2 linked regions of the Styela clava genome follow. The protein of the gene in region 2 purifies or fractionates together with the protein of the main gene of each other region. This does not show direct contact. Links are inferred from orthologs where the notes say so. Each region holds a gene or a part of one and is shown on either strand. Other genes may lie near its edges.

Region 1 (12,943 bases), on a different chromosome or scaffold from region 2:
AACGAGCTAGCAAAATACACGATTTATATTACAAAAACGTGTTTCTCACTGCATTCGTTTAAAGTCGGTGTAACAAAAAATTTAAATAGCAGTTTCTTCAGAAGTTTATGCGTTTTAAATCTACTATTTCTGCAAGAACCCCTATTAATGCCGTAAGATCAATAGCAAATATAGGCAATTTTTGTGCTTGCAACTAACTACCAGAAAGCCTAAATTAAATAAAGTTGCGGCCCGCGGCTTCATCCAGTTACTTGTATTTGGCCCGCCAATAAAAAAGGTTGCACACCCATGGTCTAGAGCAAAGATTTTTCAACCTTAATTGAAGGAGAGGAACCCCAATAAACATTTCAAAGGCTTAAGAACCCCTGTGTAACTGAATATACATTATAATATGACAATCAAAAAATGTGAAACGGAAATTTGATGTAGAGTAGAGCTAAGATCTGAAGCCTGAACCCGGAATTCGAGCCGGGTCTGGCTGTTCTGTCGCTGACTTTTTTGTTAAAAGAAGCGTTTTTGCCACGAAAGACCGTGGTCTGCAAAAAACAGAAGTTGCCCCATCAACACGACACTCTTGCAATGACAATTCAGAGATCTCCTGATTAAAATATAAAATTTCGGGTTTGCTTCGGGCTCGGGCCTGCAAATCCAGTTAATTAGTCGGACACCGGTCGGGTTCCATACCCACGGGCCTGGGCCGGAATTGATCTTAGCTCTAATGTAGAGAAAATGAAAGTCTCTCATGAAACACACTCATTATATTATATCCGTGTATTTAATTATATTTAAACAAGATAAATGTAATAATATAGACCAGGGCTACTCAACTGTTTTTACCGGAGGTCCGCATACAAAACTTCAAAAATATCTGGATCCGGACTTTCCAGACATTATATTTCGGCATCCTCAAGCACACGATTCCTCGGCCGACTAATGATTATTAGGTAATCAAGATTGTTTGTTATGGTGTTATAGTTCTTTTCATATATATTTTTAAATCTATAAAAGTGATTTTATAAAATGAACTTCAAAAGTGGGCTAATGATCCAAAATGAAGAATTATGCGTTCGGATCAAATACCCGAAAGGTCCGAAATCGGGCCGCGGCCCCCAGTTGAGTAGCCCTGATATAGACTACAGGATTTCAATACAAACCTGCAAAACCCCTGGACAGCCTACAGTCTTGTGCAGAGTACTTTGTATGAACCAGATATATTTCCTTAGTACTGAGTTTCGATAGAAACACAAGGAATAACAAGAGTAAGGGGCGCTCCGGAAGTATGTGTACCAATATGGAGGTAACTAATTTTGTTCGCTTACATTACATCAAGTTGTGAAAAGGGACTGAAACCTATGGGCAAGGGGTATATCCACTTGGCTAACACAGACAGTCCCGAACTCAAAATAAAACTAAAATAAGAAAAATCTGAATGAATTATGAACCTGGTACACACATACTACGGGAGTACCCTTCGAAGGAACATAAACGTCCTCCCTATTGTAATAAAATAACTGTCTGGGGAGTAGTGTTAGGGGGATTCCCCCTCATGTATAACTGTCTTATCACTAGTAGTATCGTCAGTGAGCACCATTTCAGATTCATATTCTGGTTTGTCAGTCTTTCCAGAATCTTTCTGTTCAGTGGTTATAAGTCTTGATCCAAATGAACTCTTAGATATCATCAGCATTTCTCTTAAAATGTCATTTTCTGTTTGCAATCGGGATAATTCTTCGTAATCTCTGATATATTGCTCATCGTCGACATCCGCAGCATGCCTCATCACAGCAGCCATCTCGTGAATCTGGAACATAGAAAGATAAACAATGTTTGTTAGATAAAACTGCAACCCTTTTTTGTTTTGAAATAACTTGAATCTTCAGCGCCACCATGTGGTCGAATTTGTGTGCTTGAATATTTCTTGTCAAACCTGCAGCATTAACAATGACAAGATTGCCAAGTAAGAAAGAGTCCCGTCCTTCAAATATTAGTAGCTCATTACATATCGTCAGATATTAGTGCGTAGTGTCTGCTTGTACACCTGCAGGGCAAATATATAATATACTGATCTTGATTAATCAGGATGCTCATCTTTTCTACTATAAAATTAAAAGTACCTTATCAATTAGCTCCATATTCTCTTCTTGATATTGTTTTTCTGCTTGATAAGCATTTTCAGTGATCTGGATGCTGAAAGTGGAAGATATAAATAAAATTATAAATGCTGTCTACCAGTGGTCCTCAATCTTTTTTCTTTCATGGCCCATTTTTATTGCCCAAATATTCTTGTGGCCCATTAACTTTTTTATTGCAAGGGGAAAACTGGAAGTGAAATCAAGATCTTTCTGCGAAAACTGGCACTTCAACGTTTTTTATTTGAATTGGAATTACCACCTATTAGCAGTAAACAGCATTGTCATTGATTGTAGCTAAAATCAAAACTAACTATTGTAATATAAATAAAACTAGCAATTTTTATCAGTTCTGTGGCCCAACTCAAAATCCACTGGTTTATAACCAGTGGTTCTAGTCACAGTTGATTGATTTTGATATTTTAAGCCAATTGAAAGTTCATTATTATTTTTCAACATTAGGATAGAAAATAGCCTAAATATTCATCCACGAGAAGGGAAAAGACAATAAGACAGCTTGATCATATGGCTAACCATGTCCTCAGGTATGGGATTAGTTTTTGTGGGCATGGACTTGAGTATAAATGGAATAAATGTATTTATCAGCATTAAATGTATTTAATCAGACTTTCCTCTCACTGAGATTATGAAATACATTGACAAGATCCACATACTTTTGGTGCTTAGTGAACTTCATCATCTGCTGTCTGTACTTAGTCATGATAAGTTCCAATGCGTTCTGGTGGTCGGTCAAACTTTGTCGCAATTCATCATTCTCATGTTGTAGGGACCGAATTGCATTATTTTCTTGCTGAATACCTTGAAGATAAAAGTGTGAATTTAGCAAACATAATTTTTTTTTTATCAGAAGTATTATTTGAGATCCACATTTGTTTAAAACAGTGGTTTCCAACCTGGAGACGGGGCGGGTTTTCAAGGGGGTCGCGAAGGTCTTGCCAAACAGTAGAAAATAGTACAAAGCTCTAGGTTAAATATTGCCAATAGAACGAGAAGAAGTCTGGAATTGACTCTCGTTTGCCTCCGAAAGAGGCAAGCTGCGCGAGTTGTATATGGCATGTTAACCATTGTGACGCCACACGAACTCGTCTGCATTTCCGCGCCGTGACGCGGTAAACACACAGGCTTCGAAGCAATGCTGTGGAACAGGATTTCAATACCAAGGGGTCTACTGCAGGGTAGGCTTGTAGTTTGTGAAGATTATCATACATCTTGAGATTAGCTTTGTCAAAAACTCAAACCACGAATTACGCAGTTGGCTACGCGGTTTCAATGCCAGCCATCACAGCTGCAGCTTGATGAAAAATTAAATTACACAATATTCACTTTACCGCTTATTTTATTGGAAAGTACAGAAAGTGAGGCAGAGGGTCGCGAGGTATGTGTAAACCACCAAAGGAGGTTGCAAACCAAAAAAAGTTGGGAACCACTGGTTTATACATTTTTACAATATTTACATTTTTTTCTATTCCAAACTAATAATAACTTCCACCACTTCCTTATAACCACTAATTTAAGATAATTAATTCTTAATTACCAATTTCGAATTGAAATTTCAGTACAAGATAAAAAAACGATCACGTCATGTCCGGAAATATCATACAGGCAAGCAAAGATAATCATAAAAAATATCACATTAAAAACATGAGCAAAGCTAGCACTGGTTCTTTTAAAAATTTGTCTTACCTAAGACTAAAGTAGACCTTGGTCTGTGTCCAGCAACTTTGTTCAGTTCAATCAAATTTTCTTGATATGTGTTTCTCGCTTCCATCTCTTTCTTGAGAGTTGAAGCCTGTTCGGCAAGACTTTCAGCAGCGCTGTCATGATCCTGGGATAATAGATGAAAATAAAAGAATAATCTTTCGATAGTGCATGCTAGAAAGCACTGAAAATTTGTGACCTCCAGAAGCATGTTGGCTCCGCCATCTTGGTTCACATACTACAGGAGTACCAAAATTTGTTTCAATTGTGTGGCCCGCATAAACCCTGGCTGATCGAAATATCACTTAGTTGGTTCATAATCCAGGGTGCAATAACTTTCAAAAGATTTTTAGATGCTCGTGGCTTTCAAACTAATAAAATTATACTTGGGTCTGACCAGGAGAGAAGATTAGAAATCACTAATTTAACTAGTACATTCACAGGGCCTTTTAGTGGTTTAGAATGATTCGAAAGACTATGACATCACAATTTTCCCAACAGAGAAGGAATTTGATATATTAGTAAACATACATACATACATATACAGACATACCAATATTTTTCACTATTAGTCTACTATAATACTGATCAACGTAAGTTAATTTATAGTTCAACATTACAGGTACTCGCACTTCTGCTCTTGGACATTGGAGTAAGCAGTAACAAACCAGCCTTTACATGAACTGACATACAATAGCCACAAGTCAGTATTCTAATATCTGAAGAAACAGAACGGTTCATGTGACCGCTGGTCTGTTACAGCTTACCACACAATCAAGTCCATGCATCTGAAAACTAATAACTGGTTGAATGAGCTTCATATCCAATATGGCCCGCGAACCAGACAAGAGACTGTGGTTCGCCATGTAATTAAGCTTTCTTAGGACTAGGATAGACTGATAGAATTTACATTTTTATCTCGGGGGGGGGGGAGAAGAAAGACAATAGCATGGCTTAATCATATGGCAAACCACAGTCTCTCGTCCGGTTACCAGTCCATGTCGGGTATGGGATTAGTCAGCCAGTTATTGACTTTCCCTTCCCAGGGATAAATATCAAAACCTGAATCAGTAAAAAAGCCGGAAGTCTGCCTCAAGAGGATTGAATTATATGTAGAAGCCTTTATTAACTGTCAAAACATTGAAATACTCTACCTTCAATCTTGTAACAAGATATTTAGCGTCCGCAAGCAACGACTCGATGGTGATATTCATTTTTGCAAACTAGTCGATGTACAAGGAAACTAGACTGATTGCTCTTCAAAAAATACCCTTTTTTCTTTTTCAATATGCCAGATTTTAAATTTACTTTTTGCAAAAAATCGTTTTCTATGTTGATAACTTAAAACAAGATATATGATATAACTAAAGATATTTTGCTCTAAAATACAGTTATCCAAAAAAATGTATTGAAAATGCATTTTTAGCAATAAAATAAGAAAAATGACGGTCTGAATGTAGGACATCAGGCATAAATTTGGTAACTTGAGGAAACAAAGAATGTATCTCTATCGCCACTAACGGTATTATTCCCACAAATCGTTCATGGTGAACTGACCTTTTAAAAGTTTTCACGAGTGGGTGAATGTTTCAGGTATTTTTGTTTATGATAACATTTATTATAAATTTGCAATAAAACAATATAGACGGCTTCTTCCCCAGTTAACCACATTATCAACCACTTTCTTCTCGAGGCGCCAGCAGCCGATCGAAATATAAGGACTTTGATCGAAATGATAAAAACATTTTGGAAGATTTGCGCGAATTGAGGTACTTTTGCGCGAATACAGTTTGGGATCAAACGGGGCTTTGAGAAGATATTTGGAATAGCCTGTTTTTTTTTATACACGGGCTTTGTCCTTTTTTATTTTAAACAAGGCTCTTAGGAGGCTGACACTGCGATACAAAGAGATACTGATTCATAATTACCAGAATGAATCGGGTGCAGAATGGAGAACAGTTACCGGTACAGTTCAGTTACATTTCACAGCATACCGTACCCGGCACCGGTACGGTACCGGTAGCGTTCGACTGGAGGTTATTATTTTATGTAGGCTACCGGTATCATTCTCAAAAACAGCCGCACAAGAATGCAAGCTCTAAATCATTACCGGTACATTTTTGTAAATAAGAAGTTGAATGCCTGTTACCTTCGGGAGTGCAGACGGTTGTAATTGTACATGTCTGCTTTAACGATTCTGTCTGTTGTAGCAAGTCTATGCATGCCACTTTCTCACATACTGTACATAGCCTAGTTCATTTTCTCATGATTAACTTTTGTTTTGTAAAAAAATTTCACTGATCAATCAATTTTTTCTGTAATCACGCATAAGAATTAATTTGAAAGATATCGCTCGATTTTACATCGTGTCTTGATTTTATTGTTTTCTTTTGACTGTTTTTGGTGGACGGGCACGCACTCGTCTGTTTTTTAACTTTTCTATTAAGTTATGCCCAGGTCCTCTGCATTTTGTTTGTCTGTTTGTTGTTGTTTTGTTTCTTTCAGAGTGACCAAAAAAAAATTGATTGTATCTCCGGGCCAGACTGGATTCCATGGCAGGTGCACGCCCGAGGGCGCTAGCGCTCCGCAAAAATGCACGCGAGCGAAATCAATTTTGCACGCCGAAAATTTGCAATTGCTCACCAATGTAAATCGGTTTAAATAGTTTTAAAATCAATAATCCAGTAATATAAAGATGCCAAAATATTATAACTCCACAATTGTCGACAAATACCAGCTTGCAAGATTTGGTCTGATCGAAATATTGCGAAGCAAAAAGACCATGGACCTTTCCCCAACCTTTGACCCGCGAAAAATTCCTCTCATTGTTACGTCCTTTTTTGCATCTTGCTGATTGGCCAATGTCACGAAGTAAACAAGGAAGTCGATGCTCGGGGAAAGGTTCATATCGTGTTGAATGATAGGAAATAGGAATCCCGTGAGAATAGTTATGGACGAAAAGATCGCCTCCGCACCAATGGCCAAGTACGGCTCTGATTCAGCGTATTTTTCATACAATAATTTTACACGAATGTACTGAACAGTACCGGTATCTAAAGTTGCTCAAACACTCCCAAAATTAGTGACAAAGTATGAAAATAATGTTTGGGGTCAAAAATCAAACTTCCATTTTGCTCTAATTTGACGTATTATTTATCCATTAATTCTACGTAAAAACACTACCAAAATTAATGACAAAGTATGTCCATTTTGCTCTGGTTCAACGTATTTTTTATCCAATAATTTTACGCGGATGTACTGAACAGTACCGGTATCCAAAGTCGCACAAACACTCTCAAAATTAGCGACAAACTGTAGAAATAATGTTTGGGGTCAAAGGTCAAACGTCCATTTTTTCTCTGATTCAACGTATTTTTTTATCCGATACCGGTAATTTTACGCGGATGTATTGAGAGGTATCTGATGTCAAAGTCAGTTGCACGCGAGTGCAGTTGTTTTGCACGTCGTGAGCTATAATTGCACGCCAGGAATTCTTATTTGCACGCGGGAATTTCTGATTGCACGCCCGATTTCTCGTTCAAAAAGGCCATGAAATCCAGACTGGTCTCCGGGTATAACATGTAAATCTTATCCTATTTCTAAAGCTTCTGCGTCTAAAAATTAATAAAAACTATATAAATTTGCAAATGGTGTTGTAATTCAGTAATATCATACCTCTTTGTATATAATTTTGATTTGTTTGTTACCTAATTAGGCACATAGACACATTTTTACTTGGTGAAAATGAATACCGGATTCTTGATTCTTTATTTAGTATCATTGCTTGACAATGTTTTCATCTTCTCAGAATATTTTAGATATAGTATTAAACGGACAAATAATCATGTTGCCTACTATTAAGGGGTCGTTACTAACTTTATTTTTACTCACTATTTGTAACCTTTTATGTGAGATATCGGCAGAAGCAAAATTCAATGACATTCGGTGTCGCTGCACTTGCAAACAACTTATTGCTCTCAATATTCCGAGAAAGGTTTATACAAAAGATGCAGTTCAAGAAAAATGTAACTGTTTAGATGTTGTCGTTCCGGAATTGAATTGGGCAAATATATCTGGCGTAATGCTGGAACAATACTGCCTCTTGTGTCAGTGTAAATATGAAGTACGAAGCACTAAGACTATGGAGGTTGTTGTCCTGATGTATCTGATTTTAATTGGAATATTATTCTCATATTTGGCAATTGTTGGATTAGTTGATTTTATCGGTAAAAAGCGGAATCGAGAACAAGGAGTTGAAACTCAGAATTTAGTCAGTGAAGATCGACCCTCGACTTCATCTGAAACTGCCGAAAATATGCGCTTTCGCAGCCATCGGAGGCAGCATAGTTCTACAAGTTCTATGATGATGAATCGACTAACAAACGCACAAGTAGAGTGGAAGCGACAACTAAAAAGCCAACGGGATAAAGTCTTTGAGAGTAGAAATATTCTGCAATAATGGGAAAAGATTGCACGAATTCCTCGCCGATGAAAGGATGAATTGATTGGATTTTCTTTGCCTCTACAACACAAAAATAATCCAAACTACTTGAGATTGATATTAGAAAGTGGTTCCTCATACTCATTTTTCTATTTTTCACAATATGTGTATGCAAGTCTAGGTAATAAAGGCTTGTGTTAGAATCCAAATCAATTAGCCGACACCTCTTTGTTACCCCCTATTTTTTGCATCGGACTGTTTAGTAATTCTCGACCCGGTGACGAGACTATAGACTCACTTACTATCATATGATTAAGCCCTCTTTTTCTGGACTAAAATGAAGATCATATTAAAGCAATTCTATAAAACCTCAGTCTTAAGGTCTAGTTTACTTTTGTTACGTAGGAAGCCAATTCGGGACAACCAACATGCTCTTTTTATACTGCATCGAATTCTTGGCCATATTGAATACTTTATTTAGAAACCTAAAACTTCTCTAGGTTTTTTACTAGGAACTTAGACTTGCAGTTTTTTTGTGATTCCTGTGCACAAGTTATTCGTGATTAATTTTTTTTGTTTTTGTTTTGTGCAATAGTCAACTTATTTTAGCAGCAAGTTTTAGTTTGTGTTTCAGTCAAGATAGTTATCCAAGATTATACCAATAAACAGTATTTCCTGGTTATTAAGTCGCTTCTCTCGACCCAATTTTTTGACCTGATTTTAGGGGGGGCTGTCTTATTGGGCGGCTATTATTTTATTTTTTCTTGCTTCTTGGAGTCTTTTTTTACGCACATAAAATTATTAGTGCATATTGTTGCTAACTAACCAACAGAGAAGCAATTTCACTGTCCGTTTTTATTGGAGCTTATATGGAAAACAAACACTTAAAAATCATTATGTGAGTAACAAGTGTCAGTGGCTGTCTGCTACTCTTCTATCTCTAATCTAATTTCTCGTGAGGGCAATCTTGTTTTGATTAAACCTGAATTGAAAGCTATTTCACCTTTGGGAATCAATGATGCTTGAATAGTTTCTGGGTCATTACTTCCTGGGGTCAAATCTTGTGTAAAAAAAATAAAACATAATATATTTTATATTTGAACCATGCAGAAAATACTTTATCAGTGTATTCAAAATTTCTCTCTCTGTTGTGATGTGATATTATAGCAATTTATTACTTATTTAGATCAAAGTAATATCTAAATTTTCTAATCTATCTTTTGGTATCGCATTGGAAATATGGATTTGAAAGACGTAAAGTTTGGAGATGAAATGAAGGATGAGTTTCTCTTGGATAAATCATGTGCTTTTGTGAACCATGGATCTTATGGGCCAACTCCTAAGAGAGTGGTGGAACAGAAAGTCAAGTAAGTTCTCATTTTTGAATATTGGGATTTATCAGTTATTAGTGTTCACTTTTTCATAATGCTAAAAATACACTGTGCATACACAATGTAAAAAAGGCATTTCAGGATGACGGTCAACACAAAATTAGTAATATTGGTTATCAAGCAACGGTGCCGTAATATATGATTAAACTATGATATTATCAAAACTCTCATTTATGCTGAAATACATGATATTGACTGAAATAATTTTGCATACTCAAAGACAGTAATTTTATGTAATATTATTTATTGATATCCTTGTAGAATAGAATTTTAAATCTATATGAAAAGCCTTGCCACTCAATTGTAACTCAGTTAAATGTATATTAATAATGTACAGGATTTTCATATTTTTACTGGGGGGAGAGATAAGCCCATAAAGCAACGGGCAAACAGCGGCTCACGAGCCGCATGTGACTCGCCAGGGTTTTTATGCGGCTCTTCTCGCTAGCAATAGTAATATATTATCCAAATTTAACTATGAGAAACTGTAGCGCAACAGTTTTTAAATCATTATGCGGTTGAACGAAGTTTTCTACTATGATTAAGACAAATTCTGTTTTAGTATGAAAATCGTAGCGTGGAATTTAATTTAAATCGGTCAAACGACTAATCTTACGTTCTAATATTATTAATTTCAAAAATTATGCGGCTCTCACATATTTCTGACTTGCTACATGCGGCTCTTATACTAAAAAATTTTGCCCACCCCTGCCATAAAGCCTAATTGTGCAGAGTATTATTAATTAAGATGCCAGGACAGGTATTAGGAGATAGGTAACAAGTAGTTTATCATTTCAATTGCCTGGTATTTTGAACCACTAACTAGCATAACAGTAATCTGTAGTTTACCACCATGGCATCCGAACCTGATAAATCATCTTAACCCTGTGAGCTCCTGATAAATCATCTTAACCCTGTGAGCTCCTATCCCCCAAGCCAGGGGTGGGCAAATTACGCCTGCAGGCCAGATCTGGCCCACCGAAATGTTTCATCCAGGTCCAGTGTGGGCTGCTGAAATTATAACTATAGTTTTATGGATATAAATTCTGTTAAAAATCTAGATGAAAATAACATCATAATGACGCTGATAGTTACATTCTGCTTAATATTATTATACAAACAGTAGCCTAGCTGACAGACAAGTAGTTGTAAGTAAACTGTTTTTATTCATAGTTTTTCATAATAGGCCTCTGGCCCAGTAACCAAGTCTGTTATCTGTAGCAGACTCACTCAGAAAAGTAATTGCCCACCCCTGCACCAAGCAAATAATTTAAGTAAACCATTGTATAAGTACAATTCTCTCTGACAGGGTGACTCAAAAAAGAGAACTTATAAATTTTGAAGGATATTTATTTAACATTTGATTTCTGTTTGTGTATGATTGTATCCAAAAGTTTTAGTAATCTAGGACTGTTTGAAATTTATGTTCTCTCTAGAACAGTTGTTCTCTTTTTAATTTTTTAATCCTCGCCCCCTTTTAATGACTTGTCAAGTCTTGTGCCCCACCTCGAAAATAACTAGCTGACAATAAGCTACATATAACAGATAGTAAGGCGAAAGTATGTTTTATTCGAAAAACATGTTGAAAATACGTGGATGGAATCACAATCTCTAACCAAAGAGTAAAAGAATGTAAATATCCAAATTAAAGGGGGCAATATCGAATCGAACAAATATTTTAATTTTTAATTAGCGCTCCCTCAAAATATTATCCATGGCCCCCTTGTGGGGCGCGCCTCATCATTTGAGAACCCCTGCTCTAGAATATTTTCCAGATGACTTGGGTTCTGTTTTTTTTGGACCATCCTATGACACTATCAACTTATTTCAGGTTCATATATGAGCAAGAAGCGCAGCCCGACCTCTGGTTCCGATTCAACCTGGAAAAATACTACGATGCTTCTCTCACAGCTGCTGCGGAATTTCTTGGAGTTAATAAATCGAACTTGGTGCTTGTTGACAATGTGACTACAGGTTTGAAGTTTGCAAATGTCAAATATTAGGCCGATTTTATCGCAACTTAAACGGCTTACTCCACCATCAAGTCCATGCTTCCGAAAACAAAAATAACTAACTAATCCCATACCCGACATGGACAGATAACCGGACGAGAGGCCGTGGTTCGCCATATGGTTAAGCCGTCTTACCAACTTTCCTCTCCCCCGGGATAAATATGTAAATCCTATCTTAACCAAATTTTGATGTTTCAGCTAAGAATAACTCAACGACATTGTTGAGATTAGAATTAAATTTAGTAGGTTCAGAGCAAAATTTGCACCAACTGTCTTACCCTTAGCTGAGTGTTAGAAAACTATTTTAATTTATTATTATTTCTCAGGCATCAACACTGTGGTGAAATGCTTGAAATTTGAGCCAGGAGATCAGATATTGATCCATACTCACACTTACAATGCAGTTAAGAATATCGCTGACGAACAAGAGGACTTTATCAAAGGTAAGAAGAAGTACTGTTATTGCGCACTATGTGTGACAAGAATGTCGAAATCGAACTGTAAAATAATAGGGTGTCCACAAATTATAAAATTGCAAAGGGAATTTACTGATGCTATATCGTTTTGGCCCTCACAGTTGTATTAAATGAAGTAAAAATACTTGAACAATTACTGAATAAAAAACAACAAACCTGGTTAAGATATATTGAGAACTTCATAACTTTTGTTACTTGATAACAAAATTGAGACTTGTAAAAGGGACTTTATGGACACCCTGTATATTTGAATACCACAGTCAAAGAATCTGATTATTAGTGTTTATTAGAATATCGGGACTTTGGTATACGGTCTTAGCAGTTATGTGATCTCTGTGATAGGAACTGAAATCCATGAGGATGTTTTTATGCAATTTTGGGAACTCCAGAAAAATGTGCATCAAGATGGTGCACAACCTGAACATAGTATGTGTACCAGGTTAGGGTTCAGGTTGTGCGCCATCTTGGTGCACATACTTCGGGGGCGCCCAATTTCGATCATGTTAAGCAAGTGGGATTACGAACCAAAGTGGTTTTATAACGTTGAAACCACATACCAAAGTGGCACGAATATTGTTTATCTTGCACACAATTTTGTTGCCTATGTCGGGACTTTTCATCGACTTTTCAATTTAATGTTATAGCTCGTATGCTTATCTCGAATCCTTAAATTTCTTTCCAAACAGGTGTTAAAGTTGTCACTGCTGAAATCCCACTTCCCATAAAATCTGAGGATGATTTGGTAGATGTTTTCCGCAAAGCATTGGATGAAAAT
Region 2 (11,969 bases):
TAAATTTCAAATTGTTTTTAATGTTTTTAAACGAGGTTTGCAAGGTTTTCGATGTTTTTTGGTGTATCTTCATGGTTTACTTCCCTTCTAAAATCAAGAAATAATTATTTTCGAATCGATTTGAATATCCGATTTGTTTATGAATGCTACTAATTTACAGTAAGGAAGGAATCGGGATCAATTTTTCAAACCTAAATCATGTTATTCTAAGTTTATATCAAAAGTTTCTATTGACCAAGAATGGCGAGAGATGGTTTTGTCGGCTAACTAGGACAGAATCGTGATATATACTTTGCTCAATTATCACATTAATTAAGAGGATGACAGTCATGACACTACACCTGTCATGAAATTATGACAACCAATAACAGTCTTAAGTTTAAACCATTTCAAATAAGTATTTATCCTATGTGTGTTGGTAAAGTAAGTTGATACAACAAGGTATTTTTTATGTTCATAAATAAGATATAAAAAGATGTCATGGTGCCAAATGAGTTCATCAAAATTGCCCAAGGGGGGAATCGCATAAGATAAAGATTTGACATCTTCTACCTTGTTTGATATCATTTTCAGATATTATCAAGAATCGCAATTAAGCATGTAAGGATTTTATTCTGGTTTTGTTACAACATCTAAAGTGTAGCAACTTAAGATTGAATATTAAATAGATGTTTCGGATATTATTCAAATTAAATTTAATCTGCTGTCTTTGCAGTCGATTAGAAAATTTTATTTCAGTCTATACACAAACATTTTCCTATATGTTGTGCTATTTATACATGTGTTTTCATGAAATGAATTTTTTAAAATTTACTTTTACATAGGATTCTTTGGTAGAAACTGCTTAGTGATTTGATCTAATATTATAAGTGAGGCGATTTCTTCGCTTCGGGATAAGTTAATGCAGAAATACAATGTCAGACACAATATAGTTGTTTCAAATATTAATTCAACAAATATTTTTACATAACTTATATTGATTAATTTATAAATTATTTCTTGTCTACAATCAATTCCTTCAATCAGTCTCTATTCATTACAGAAGTTATCACAGCATATTTTAGACATCAATATTAGAAAATACCATGCCATTTCAAAAATATCTCGTAAGGCAAACCCTAATAATCTATTATTTTACTGCTGAATATAATATGTATTAAATTATGGAATACATCCCAAGTTGGCTCGTGTTCATAAACAACACATAGGAGTCAACATATGAATAAATAAAGTAATATAATTTGTAGATAAATAGTAGTTTTATTGGTGGCAATATTTTTTCAGAATTTTCAAGTTTTCTTTTACTTTTACTCTTGCTGTGAGACTTCAATTGTTCATGATAATCTTTCAAATGAAACTATTTCAGAATCAAGAATTCTTAATATCAAATGTAATCAGAACAGAATCACATATTTGACTAATTACATACAAACAACCCTGGTAGAAAACTTATTTATATTCAATCTTCACTGAAAGTTTATTACGGTAGTATTTATATCAGCACCAGGTAACTGTTTCCTATGCAATTTCTTTATATTCCAATATGAGAGGTATAAGTTATTTAGCCATTCTCAAGCACACTATTTGTATGTTAATTTGAAGCAGACACTATCTATATCATTGATAAAAACTTCACCATCCATGGGTGTTTCTATTTTTATTGCCTACATATTTCTATTGTATAAAAATGAAGCACAATGGGAAATGTGTTTGAGTTTTTGCTTTGAATTGTAATTTTGTTTATTCAATTGTGTAACTGAATCATAAAATGTACAACATTATTAACACTTTTATATTGGATAAATGAGCCTGTTTACGCCAACCACAATTTCAAAATATAGAGGAAAAATTGTTGGAGGAAAACCTACATGTTACATGAGCATTTTACCTCTTTAGATAATGTATATTTCAGTCGCAATTGGCCTATTTATTGCATCTATCCATAAAAATTTCATATCTCAAATCAGTCACAAGGCACAAGTTTGAAAATATCTAGCCATTCAAACATGAAAATTATTGATTTCTCTATCTATTGCCAATTATTTTTAAGAGTAATCTATCCAATTTATTTAATCGCTAAACCACAATACTCTAAGATCACAAATATTTCATCCTTTTTAAACAGCTGTTACTGGAAGACTAAATATTTGAATACAACTAGTCAACTACTATACAATGCACCATCTATACAGAAGTTCCTACAAATGCTGAACCAAAAGCACCAACAAAGAGTAAATGTCAAATAGACAGCACCACAAAGAGCAGGACAGCCCAGGAAAGTGTGAATTACTCAGTCACAGGGTCATGTCTGACTCATTATTTTTACTGCTTTCTACCACATCAGTTCACTGGTGTGAACAATTCAGAATAGCCCACTATGCAGCCCACATTAAAAGCTATTCAATATAAATAAACAACTCTTCCTGTATGAAATTTGATCAATCCAATAGCATGGATAGTATTTTATCATCGAAGAATTTAATATATAGTTGAATGCTACACATCAACATCCATTTACATTCTAATAACAAGTAACTTTTGAATAAACTACTATTGCTTGTTGTGATAAATAAAAGTCATATAATTACCTTTGTTTGGCTTCATCACCATTTGGAAGATATAAACGTACTTGTGAAACAATACAGCCATGAGTTACTAAAAATTAAAAATATAGTATTATTATATAGTGAAATAGTAAATTTACTGAGAGAGATGGAAGTATCTGAAGCATTACAACTAAATATTACCTTCTATATATAGAATGCTGTTATGTAAACCGCATGAGTAGAAAAATATCACTATATGTACCACATATTACATGCTATACCGTAATTTAAACTTAGAGGGTAAGCAATGGTGTGTATGACTAAGGATGATCATATGGTTTCATAATCGAGAAATTTGATTGGAGATTAGTTTCGAAATTTGATTATGTCAGGAATCATTTCCGTCCCAGGAAAGAATGTTACTATTTTTGGGGAGAAACTTCTGTACCTGCGTGTAGTATAACAAATATTGACTCATTTAGCAGTATTGTAATACAAATTTATACATTTATTACAAATTGTACGTGAGCCCTCATGCAAGATGTGCATATCATCTGCTAGTAAGCATTGCAAGGGGGAAAGAAGAGTTTCATAACATGCAAAGGGGGAATGTATTAAAAAAGGTAGGAAACCATCAATCTAAATGTATGAATGTATTCTGCAAAAATAACCTATCTGCTGGATTTTCATCCATAAAATTTGACATGAAACACTAAAAGCGTTCATGCATATGGAAAGTAGGGATACTTTTGATTGATTTAGTAAATTAGTTGACAACTGACATAAAAATAAACCAAAATCAATGTAGTTTATTTTATGCAAGGACATATTTTGTATTCATAGAATCCCCATCGGAGCCATTTGTGTATACCCTATTACTACGACAGGATAAGTAGGATTGGACTATTGAGTGTCTTGTTCAAGTGAATGAATTCAAACTCCTACTTGGGTATTGTTTGAGGCATGAACTAGAACAATTACGAGAGGTATAACCACAAAATCAAAAGTTGTTTAAATCAATTTGATTGTTCGTGGACACACATGACTGCATTGCTACGATAATTTAATTATTCAATATTAAAGTTTCAATATATCTAAAATTTGAAATTTAAGATAATTCAACTTTACAAGTGAGAATATGATTTGGAATTCAGAGGTGATTATGCTCATGGGCTTAAACAAAAAAATCTTCCAACTTAATATGAGTTATCATAACATAATTGTTATGTTATATTGAAAGGAATATCTACCAAGAAGCGAACAGTAAGCAAGGATCAAAACCGAATAATATACAATTCTAAATACATTCTGAAATAATGTTTGGATATGATTAATAAATATATTCTAATTGGGCCATGTTAAAATAAAACATAAAGAAGTCAAGTTGCATTGCATTCAATGAGTTTGAATTTGCAAATGCAGGAAGGTTAAGATGAATAGCCTAGTGATTTGATTGGTCAACTATTTATTGTATACCTCCTAATAAGGCCGTTTCATATATGATGTGGATTGTGGAGGTTAAAATGATAAATTTTGAAATGAATCTCCACTAAATTATTCCTAAAATCACGAATTTAAAACATCAAATATAATTAATTTAGAATTGATCAGTTTTGAACTTCCATTCGGTCAATATGCATCATTCTCTTTTGATACTTAATTGGCTTATTTTTGGGTGGTGGCTGGTTCTCCAGTTCGTACAACTTGCATTTTTAACAAAATTAAAGCCAAGTTCATGATATATTTACAGGAGTGGTATACAACAAATACAAAATTTAGATGCAGAAGAATATTATATGGAACACTCAAAAGATATTATATAATACTGTCAAAATTTCTACCAATACAATCAATGTAATTTCAATATTTAAAGATTGCTCCTAGCAAATCTGAATGAGGAACTTGCAACAAAAACAAATTCTTGCTTTATATAACTGGACTAGACTACCAGAACTAATCTTTAATAAACCACAAACTGATTTAAATATAACAATTAACAATGTCAGCCAATGCTATATAACTTATCACATCTCACTCAAATCACCACTATCTAGAATTATAAGAAAAACACCAGGTCACCTCTTCTTGAGTTCTCCACCACATCAACGCCGAACTGCACAATGTCACCAGAATTTACTTCGAATGGCATACTTTCTTCAGCACCTTTACTTAATCTTTGGTTATTTACAAAAGTCCCATTACTGCTTTTAGTATCTTTCAAATAAAACTGAAGAAAAAGAAACATAAGATTAGATTGATATAGCATACTATATTTTCATCACATTGAAGGCTATTTTTCTCGATCAAAGCAAATCTACACTATTGAGATGAAACATCTTGTACATTACCAAAGTAATCGTATAACGGTGTTAGAATATATATCATAGGCTACCTATTTTGTGTCATGTCTTTTGCTCAGAACAAGACCCTGTTACTACAAGCAAGCTGGTATCTAACGATATTTAGAGCTCCTATTTTCTAGAGGAATTGGGAAGTCTGTTACGGCATTGACAACTCAATTATTGAGATGGTAGGCATGAGATGTTTACCCTGCGATGTCTACAAAGTCAACTGTTGAGCCATTGTGCCCACACAAGTTGTTTTCATTTCCGATTTATAAGAACAAAACCTAATTTCATTTCACATTAATAAAGTTTCAATTTCATGAAATTCCAACTAAAGTTTACCTTGCCATCTTCATACCATAACAAGGCATGATTTCTTGACAAAACTTTACAGTCAAATATTGCATTGTTTGCTGCTGGTCGCGCTCTGGCGACTGAACGGCCAATTTTAGCTGGCTCCGTCAACGAAACTCTCCTCTCTTGGAATGGATGAGAATTTGTACGACAAGTGAATGTTGCAGTCATTTCTGAAATTATGATTTCACCCATATTTAAAATTTATATGAAGCAGCACTATGTTTTATCATTGAGATATGTTTACAACTCTCGTTTGTATAAATTAAAAGCTTGACCTTGATTTTCCAGTTTTCTGCAGTTTTGATAATTTGCCCAAATAAAAAAGCCAATATCTGAATATATATATATTCATAAGAGAACAGTAGCAGCTTGCAAGAACAATACATGGTTATTGACTAGCAAACTAAATGCTAAAAAAATAGCAAGTTCACTGATTGTAAGAACCAAAATCTTGATACAATACCAAGAAGCATATATTTGTCTCAAAATAATCTGTTCTCACCTGTTTGTACTTAGGGTGATATATCCTCAAATTGGAAATTGCTCAAAGGTACTTTTGCACTTCACCAATGTTGAAGAACACAATGTGTAGTTGTCATTGTAGTTGCAAGTTTTTAGAACTTCAAACCAATTTACATGATGCTGTATCTAGACTATTATCTGATCATAGTCATTGTCCGATGATGTTAATAATAATGTTGATATTGCTGTATGATGTAACAGTATAATGACCTCATGAACTAGTATATATAACTGTAATATATAAAAAAATGCTTTCATATCAGTATTCAGGTATTACTGTATTAAATTGGATGTGGAACACATTAATTAAGGGTGTTCAACGAATTGTAAATAAAACATAAATTAATGATAAGCAATTACAGAAAACTGAAATTTTTTATAGTTTGTGTCCACGTAATTCAATTTATTTTAACAGGATATAAATTAAATTATTATTTGATTCAAACCCTACACGATGCAGTGATCAAGGTTGATAGTTTGAAAGCAATTACAGAATTAAATATCAAAACTGAAGATTACTGATTATTCTGTTATTGTAACTAAGCGAGCAGTCGAGCTATAGGCCTATTACATTTTTTAATTAGCTGTGGTACATCCTTTATATAAACATGCATTTTGTGATATTGCTGTAGAGTTGATTTAATGCAGCAATGGCCAAAATGTAGATAGTATGATGTGATCAAATTTGAGTGTTTTTCAATGAAGTCGTAATTTTTTCTGTATCCCCAATTGACAATTCTATCTCCTAATTCAGCAATCAGCTTTTATTTATTTGTTTTTATCAATTATTTTTCGGCTGTTATGCTGATTATGATGTCAAAATAAACTTATGCTTAACTTATAACAGTATAACATATAAGAGGTGAAATTTATTCGGGAAAATATAATTGAAATAGAAAAGTCAGAAAGTTGAGCTCTGGCAGTCTGGTCAATTAAGTTGCTGAAAGAAGATCAGTCTGTCAGTATCAGTGTATGAGACAAGTTCAGGCAAACATCAGTCACAAAAATTTCTAAGTTAGGAATACAACATGCGGACATAAACCAACATGAGTCCGATAGTAATATCAGAATATTGGGCTTGGGCCTAATAAAATTATGATTAAAATACCCTTAAAAATATTCTTTCACTTGTCTAAGCTTAATTAAGATTTTGTCTAAACAGACACAACAAATTTGGGTATAGATAATTATCAAAGCTAAAGCTGGGAAACCAGCACCATTGCCTATATAGTCTACTCACAACCTCCTAAAAGTGCACAACCCAAACTTCTGATTCACTGTCCCAGGATTTGCTCTTGAATTCGAAATAATAAAGACAAACAAAAGGCATTGGGAAGGGTTTACGTGAAAAATGGATTTGATGCAGCTCTCGGGCGCCGCATATTGGATAAAAGAATAATGAACTTAAATCGTTTCAATCAAGAAAAACATTATCAAATCAAATAAAACAAGAGAGCTACGCCCAAATATATGCACACGTCTGTTCGCAGTACAGTACGGTTTACCGTACCGTCAGATCACAGTCTACAAATATATTCACACCAAGCGAAGCAGTACAGTAGGACACAAAATGGCGTCCGATGGCCGCAGAAAGTTTAATGACGTCATAGCAAACAAAAACAAATCTCACAGAGCTAGCAGACATATTTAAAATGAATAAAAGTAATATCTTCAACCACTGAAAATTTCAAAGCAATAGGTCCAGTATTCGAAGAGAAAAGCGTTTTTTTTTAATATTTCCACTAGGTGTGTTATTCTGTGTCAAACAACAAGAACAACATAATATTGAAACGATCGTTATGTCCACTACATGTCCAACAACAACATAATATTGAAACGATCGCTATGTCCACTACGTGTCCAAAAATGAAATCTAGTTAAGTCAATAATCTTGTCAAAACCAACATCATACATAAACCCTTTTCTCCATCGCGGGAAATTCCATTCAAATCATCATGAGTGGACATTTGGTCCCAAACATTTGGAAATCTTTCTTTTGTTTAGACTAAATGTAAAAATTACATTTGCCCTTGCACCAATGATATCCTGATGCAGGGTTTTCCAAACTGGGTGTCCGTGATGACTGCTCGAGGGTTCTGCAACGACCGGAAAAGAGCTGGGTCAATCTTCAACGATTGATTTCAATCAAAACTCCATTGCTTATTTTTGGTTGACTGCGGCGGACGAATATTCATTGCTGTCAGAAAAGTCAATTAAAATTTATTGCATTTTAAAACAGCCTACATGTCTGCGCAGCATTTTCAGATCTTACCAATATGATGACAAAATATATGCCGAGATATGCCGTAGAGTTGGATCTAAGAATTTGCTTGTCACAAACTGCCCCGAGAATTGAGAAATTGTGCATTGAAAATCAACCGCGTTCATCACATCAATGACATTAAACAACATGATGCGCAACTCCGGCATTTTTGTCCGAAGATCGTATTCGATAGCACGCTCCAATGCACATACTTGACGAGACGAAAACGAGCGGATGTGTGCTGCTTTCAAGGCGTAGCACGAATGGTGTTCGTGCCTGCTTTGACAGTTGTTGTCGATTTTAATGATATTTTTGAAAGTTGGGATAAAAAGAAATCGGTAAAAGGTAAGGTGAATACTATTGTTGTATATCACAACCGGGCATCGCACTGTTAAGTACATGTGGGAAAGCCAGCCTTTGTCAAATACTACGAAGTTATTAATTCAGTACGGTACGTAGTTGCCCATTTGCCGAAATTACATATTTACTTACTCCTTATGGTTTCAAATAGTTCATGCACCTCCAGTTAGATTTTTTTAATCAGTGAGGATATATACTCATTGTTGATTGCTGCTCATTGTAACATACTATTACGCATTCACTTTTATTTGCGTATTTAATCAAAGTGTTAACAAGTTCACCTAACATTTCACTCATACCGGTCTATATTGTATAGTCTGATTTCTCAAGTATTTGGAGCCACGAATGCTTGTAATTTTCTGACTAAACCCTTTTATTAGTTGGTTTATTTTCCAAAATTCAGTAAAATATTTTTTAAATAAAACATGAGATATTGGATTTATTAGCTTTTCCATTCTGAATCATATAGACTGCTTTATTTATTCTTAACGAAAATTAATAAATCTCCTCTCTTTCTTCAGATGTGAAAGTTGTGGACAAACCTGTCTAAGCATTGTGAGACTCTTGCAGCACAAGAGGCAATAGCAGAAATAGTAAGTATATCAATCAAGAAATTAAGCCGACATAAAGCAAAACTTTCAACTATTCGTCTAATCTCAATTTCCTATTATTTATTCACAGGACAACTATAGCAGACGTGGAGATATCAGAAGTCTGGTGACATATCAGTGACAGTGTGATTCCAAGAAATATAATGCAATTGAAAATAGAAAATTGCAATAGAAAAACAACCTATGGAGGCATGCAAAGACATTTGACCCTCCGGTAGAGTTGTGTATGGCCCCCACATCCTGCAGGGCTTGAGGAAAATAACTAAAAATTCCAAAGCGTAAGATTGCATAAGCGGTCTTATTTGTAAAAAGGCACAAAACACGCCAGACATACTTAAAACAGCTTTGGAAATGAGGATTACGGGTACCTCACTGCACTTGTGTTATATTTGGTTCATCAACTTTTGGTAGTACTATAGAAAAAATTCCGAAAGGGGTATAATCATCATTCATGATAAAATACTATAATATATTTTTTGAACAACTTCAATCTAGACCAGGGATCTCAAACTCGCGGCCCCAGAGAACTTCCAGTGCGGCCCTCGAACGCTTAACAATAATTGTAATAGTATTTTGGAATTTTTTTTTTTATTTAAATGTAATAGATTTTTCAAACCTTCTAAAGTGAAATTGATTATTCACACAGAAAACAATTTACTGAAAGTAGTTTTGGAATATTAATTTTTTTTGTCCACATTTTGACCCAATTAAGAATACACATCAAGCTAGCAAAAGAATACTTGAATAAAACACTTGAGTAATTAAATTAAACGCAAAGTACACGAAGAAGGTGGCATTTTCGAAGAAAATGGGAGTTGTAACATTTCTGCTCTTCACAAAATTCTGAAGCACATTGTTTAATTTGTCATATTTCCATCAATACAATCAAAAAACACAATAAGCTCAGCAGTCAATATGACAAATTCGAAGACCAACTTCGAACAGAAAATTTCCATGTGTTTGTATATTAATATAATTATACAACGACTTAGTTACTAAAAATCAATATCAATAATAATTCAAGCAATCCTATGCCACGCAATGTAGTGCGAAATGTCTTGTCGAAAAAATCTGTCATTTGTTTTTTTACTGATCTATACATGAAATGATAAAAGTAACTTTTTTGCATTACTGGAATTATTTAAACATTCGTAAAGATCCAGATAAACCCATGATCATGTGGCCTCGTTAGTTAGAGTACTATAAAATCATTTCAGACTGGCCTTAGTATGCTGGTGACACAAAAAAGATGCCAAACGCCAGGACGAATGTAATTATTAAAACATTGAGTTTATACTGTAGTATTTTTGTTAATTTTAGGTTCATATATTTAGATTAAGTTATTTTTAGTGTATGTATTATTCTTTCCTTATTCAAAGCTTGTTCAAAAATGATTTTGATGGTTGTACATAGAATTTTACGATTTTTTATAATAAATACTGTAACTTGCAAATGTTGCAATAATAGTGGAATGCAAATATTAATATGTAATTGCATTTGAAATTGAAGAAAATAATAAAACTTAATCCAACTGTTTAGTTGCATCACAATATATGTCACAAACTAAAACTATCTTAAAAATATCTTTTAAGTATACATTATCAAAAACTGTTTGCGGCTCTTTTTACAATTTTCAAAATGTAATGCGGCTCTCGAAAACCCATGAGTTTGACACCACTGATCTATTCTAGACGATTCAAGCATTGCTTTGGGAAATTATATCACTTCAATTAAATTGAAATAATCTCGCTATATTAAATACAAAATCGTTGCTATCATAGAGGTAAACCAATTCAGCCACTCGAAATATATTGGCCTTCACAAAGCAATGGAGGCAAAATTGAGAGTTCATGAGCTATGAACATTTGTTCTTTTCTTTGTCTTGAACTTCCCATACTCCACAGCCCCTATTAATTTTTTTTAATTTTAATTACCATGTGATGGTCATACATATCTTTAACTTGTATTTTCTGTCATGATGTATTATCTCAATGTGCCAAACTATTAATTTGTGTGCATATTTTGCTTCCAGATGACATAAATGTATTGTCATGTTTATTACCTCAGCTTGGAGTATTGACAAGAAAAAGGTGCCAGTAAATTAGGTAAAAAAATTTTCAACTCATTGTTATAATCAGAATTCACAATCAATAGGAATTATAAACAGCCAACAATCAGTGAGAATTATATGCGAAATCCCTCAGAATAAATTTGTCTAAAATCGGAGGAAGGCAAAAAATATAGGTAGTTTCCATTCACACAAGCATTTCAAGAAGACTTGCTCGAGCCAAACTAAATGAGCATCGTCAGGTGATCGGTAAGGCTGCAAGTTGAATTCAGCCCTGCAACCTCCTGCATAGAAGATAATATTAATTAGTGGGCTATGAGCTAAATTCCTAAATTTAAACAAACCTATCTACGATGCATTATGTACCAGCAATGTTACCTACGATTAACTGAATATGTAATATGTCTAATAAATTCACCTACAAAAGCAAGTTCGATAGGTGCAAACTTTGTGTTATGGAATTGTATCGCAGCACAGTTTTGTATGACACCCTCTTTAAATGAAATTTCAATGATTAAGCGCAAACATTAAAGTTACTAACTTTGAACTTTGTCATTATCTGCAAAATGTTCCACACAAATCTTTCCGCTATCGCGTTTGTAATCTTTTCTGATAAAAAAAAACGTCTATGATGTCCAGAATTGCTCTTTACAGCTTGCCTGTTATTCCAGCTTTCCAAGTAAGCAAAACTTCTTAGATATAGAGATTATTTTGTTTCGTTACAGGCGCAAAAAGGCAGGTACTACACGTAAAAAAGACGCCGAGTAGCAAAAGCGAGCGGAAAACGGACGCGAAAGGCGACGAGAAATATGTGCATTGGAGCGTATCATGAAATACAATGTTTTGCCTGTAGTCTTATGGAGTGACGTCAGAGTTGCCTATCATGTTGTTTAATGT

What was found.
Region 1: the proteins of uncharacterized protein LOC120341675 (region 2) and FGFR1 oncogene partner 2 homolog purify together in Drosophila melanogaster (affinity purification with western blotting; 3 studies listed by BioGRID, with this or other methods). This does not show direct contact. The link is inferred for Styela clava from reciprocal best matches to the Drosophila melanogaster genes Slmap and Fgop2.

Annotation. Positions count from the first base shown.
Region 1 is NC_135254.1:4,412,505-4,425,447, reverse strand, and holds FGFR1 oncogene partner 2 homolog, read right to left. Parts: upstream 5,251-12,943; 5' UTR 5,063-5,250; coding exon 5,003-5,062; intron 3,976-5,002; coding exon 3,834-3,975; intron 2,949-3,833; coding exon 2,804-2,948; intron 2,188-2,803; coding exon 2,115-2,187; intron 1,802-2,114; coding exon 1,529-1,801; 3' UTR 814-1,528; downstream 1-813. Other genes in the region: proton-transporting V-type ATPase complex assembly regulator TMEM9-like, read left to right, coding at 7,639-8,307; uncharacterized protein LOC120332696, read left to right, coding at 9,529-9,656, 11,512-11,654, 12,019-12,135, 12,855-12,943.
Region 2 is NC_135263.1:9,213,481-9,225,449, forward strand, and holds the start of uncharacterized protein LOC120341675, read right to left. Parts: upstream 5,992-11,969; 5' UTR 5,751-5,991; intron 5,419-5,750; 5' UTR 5,417-5,418; coding exon 5,234-5,416; intron 4,774-5,233; coding exon 4,626-4,773; intron 2,656-4,625; coding exon 2,589-2,655; intron 1-2,588.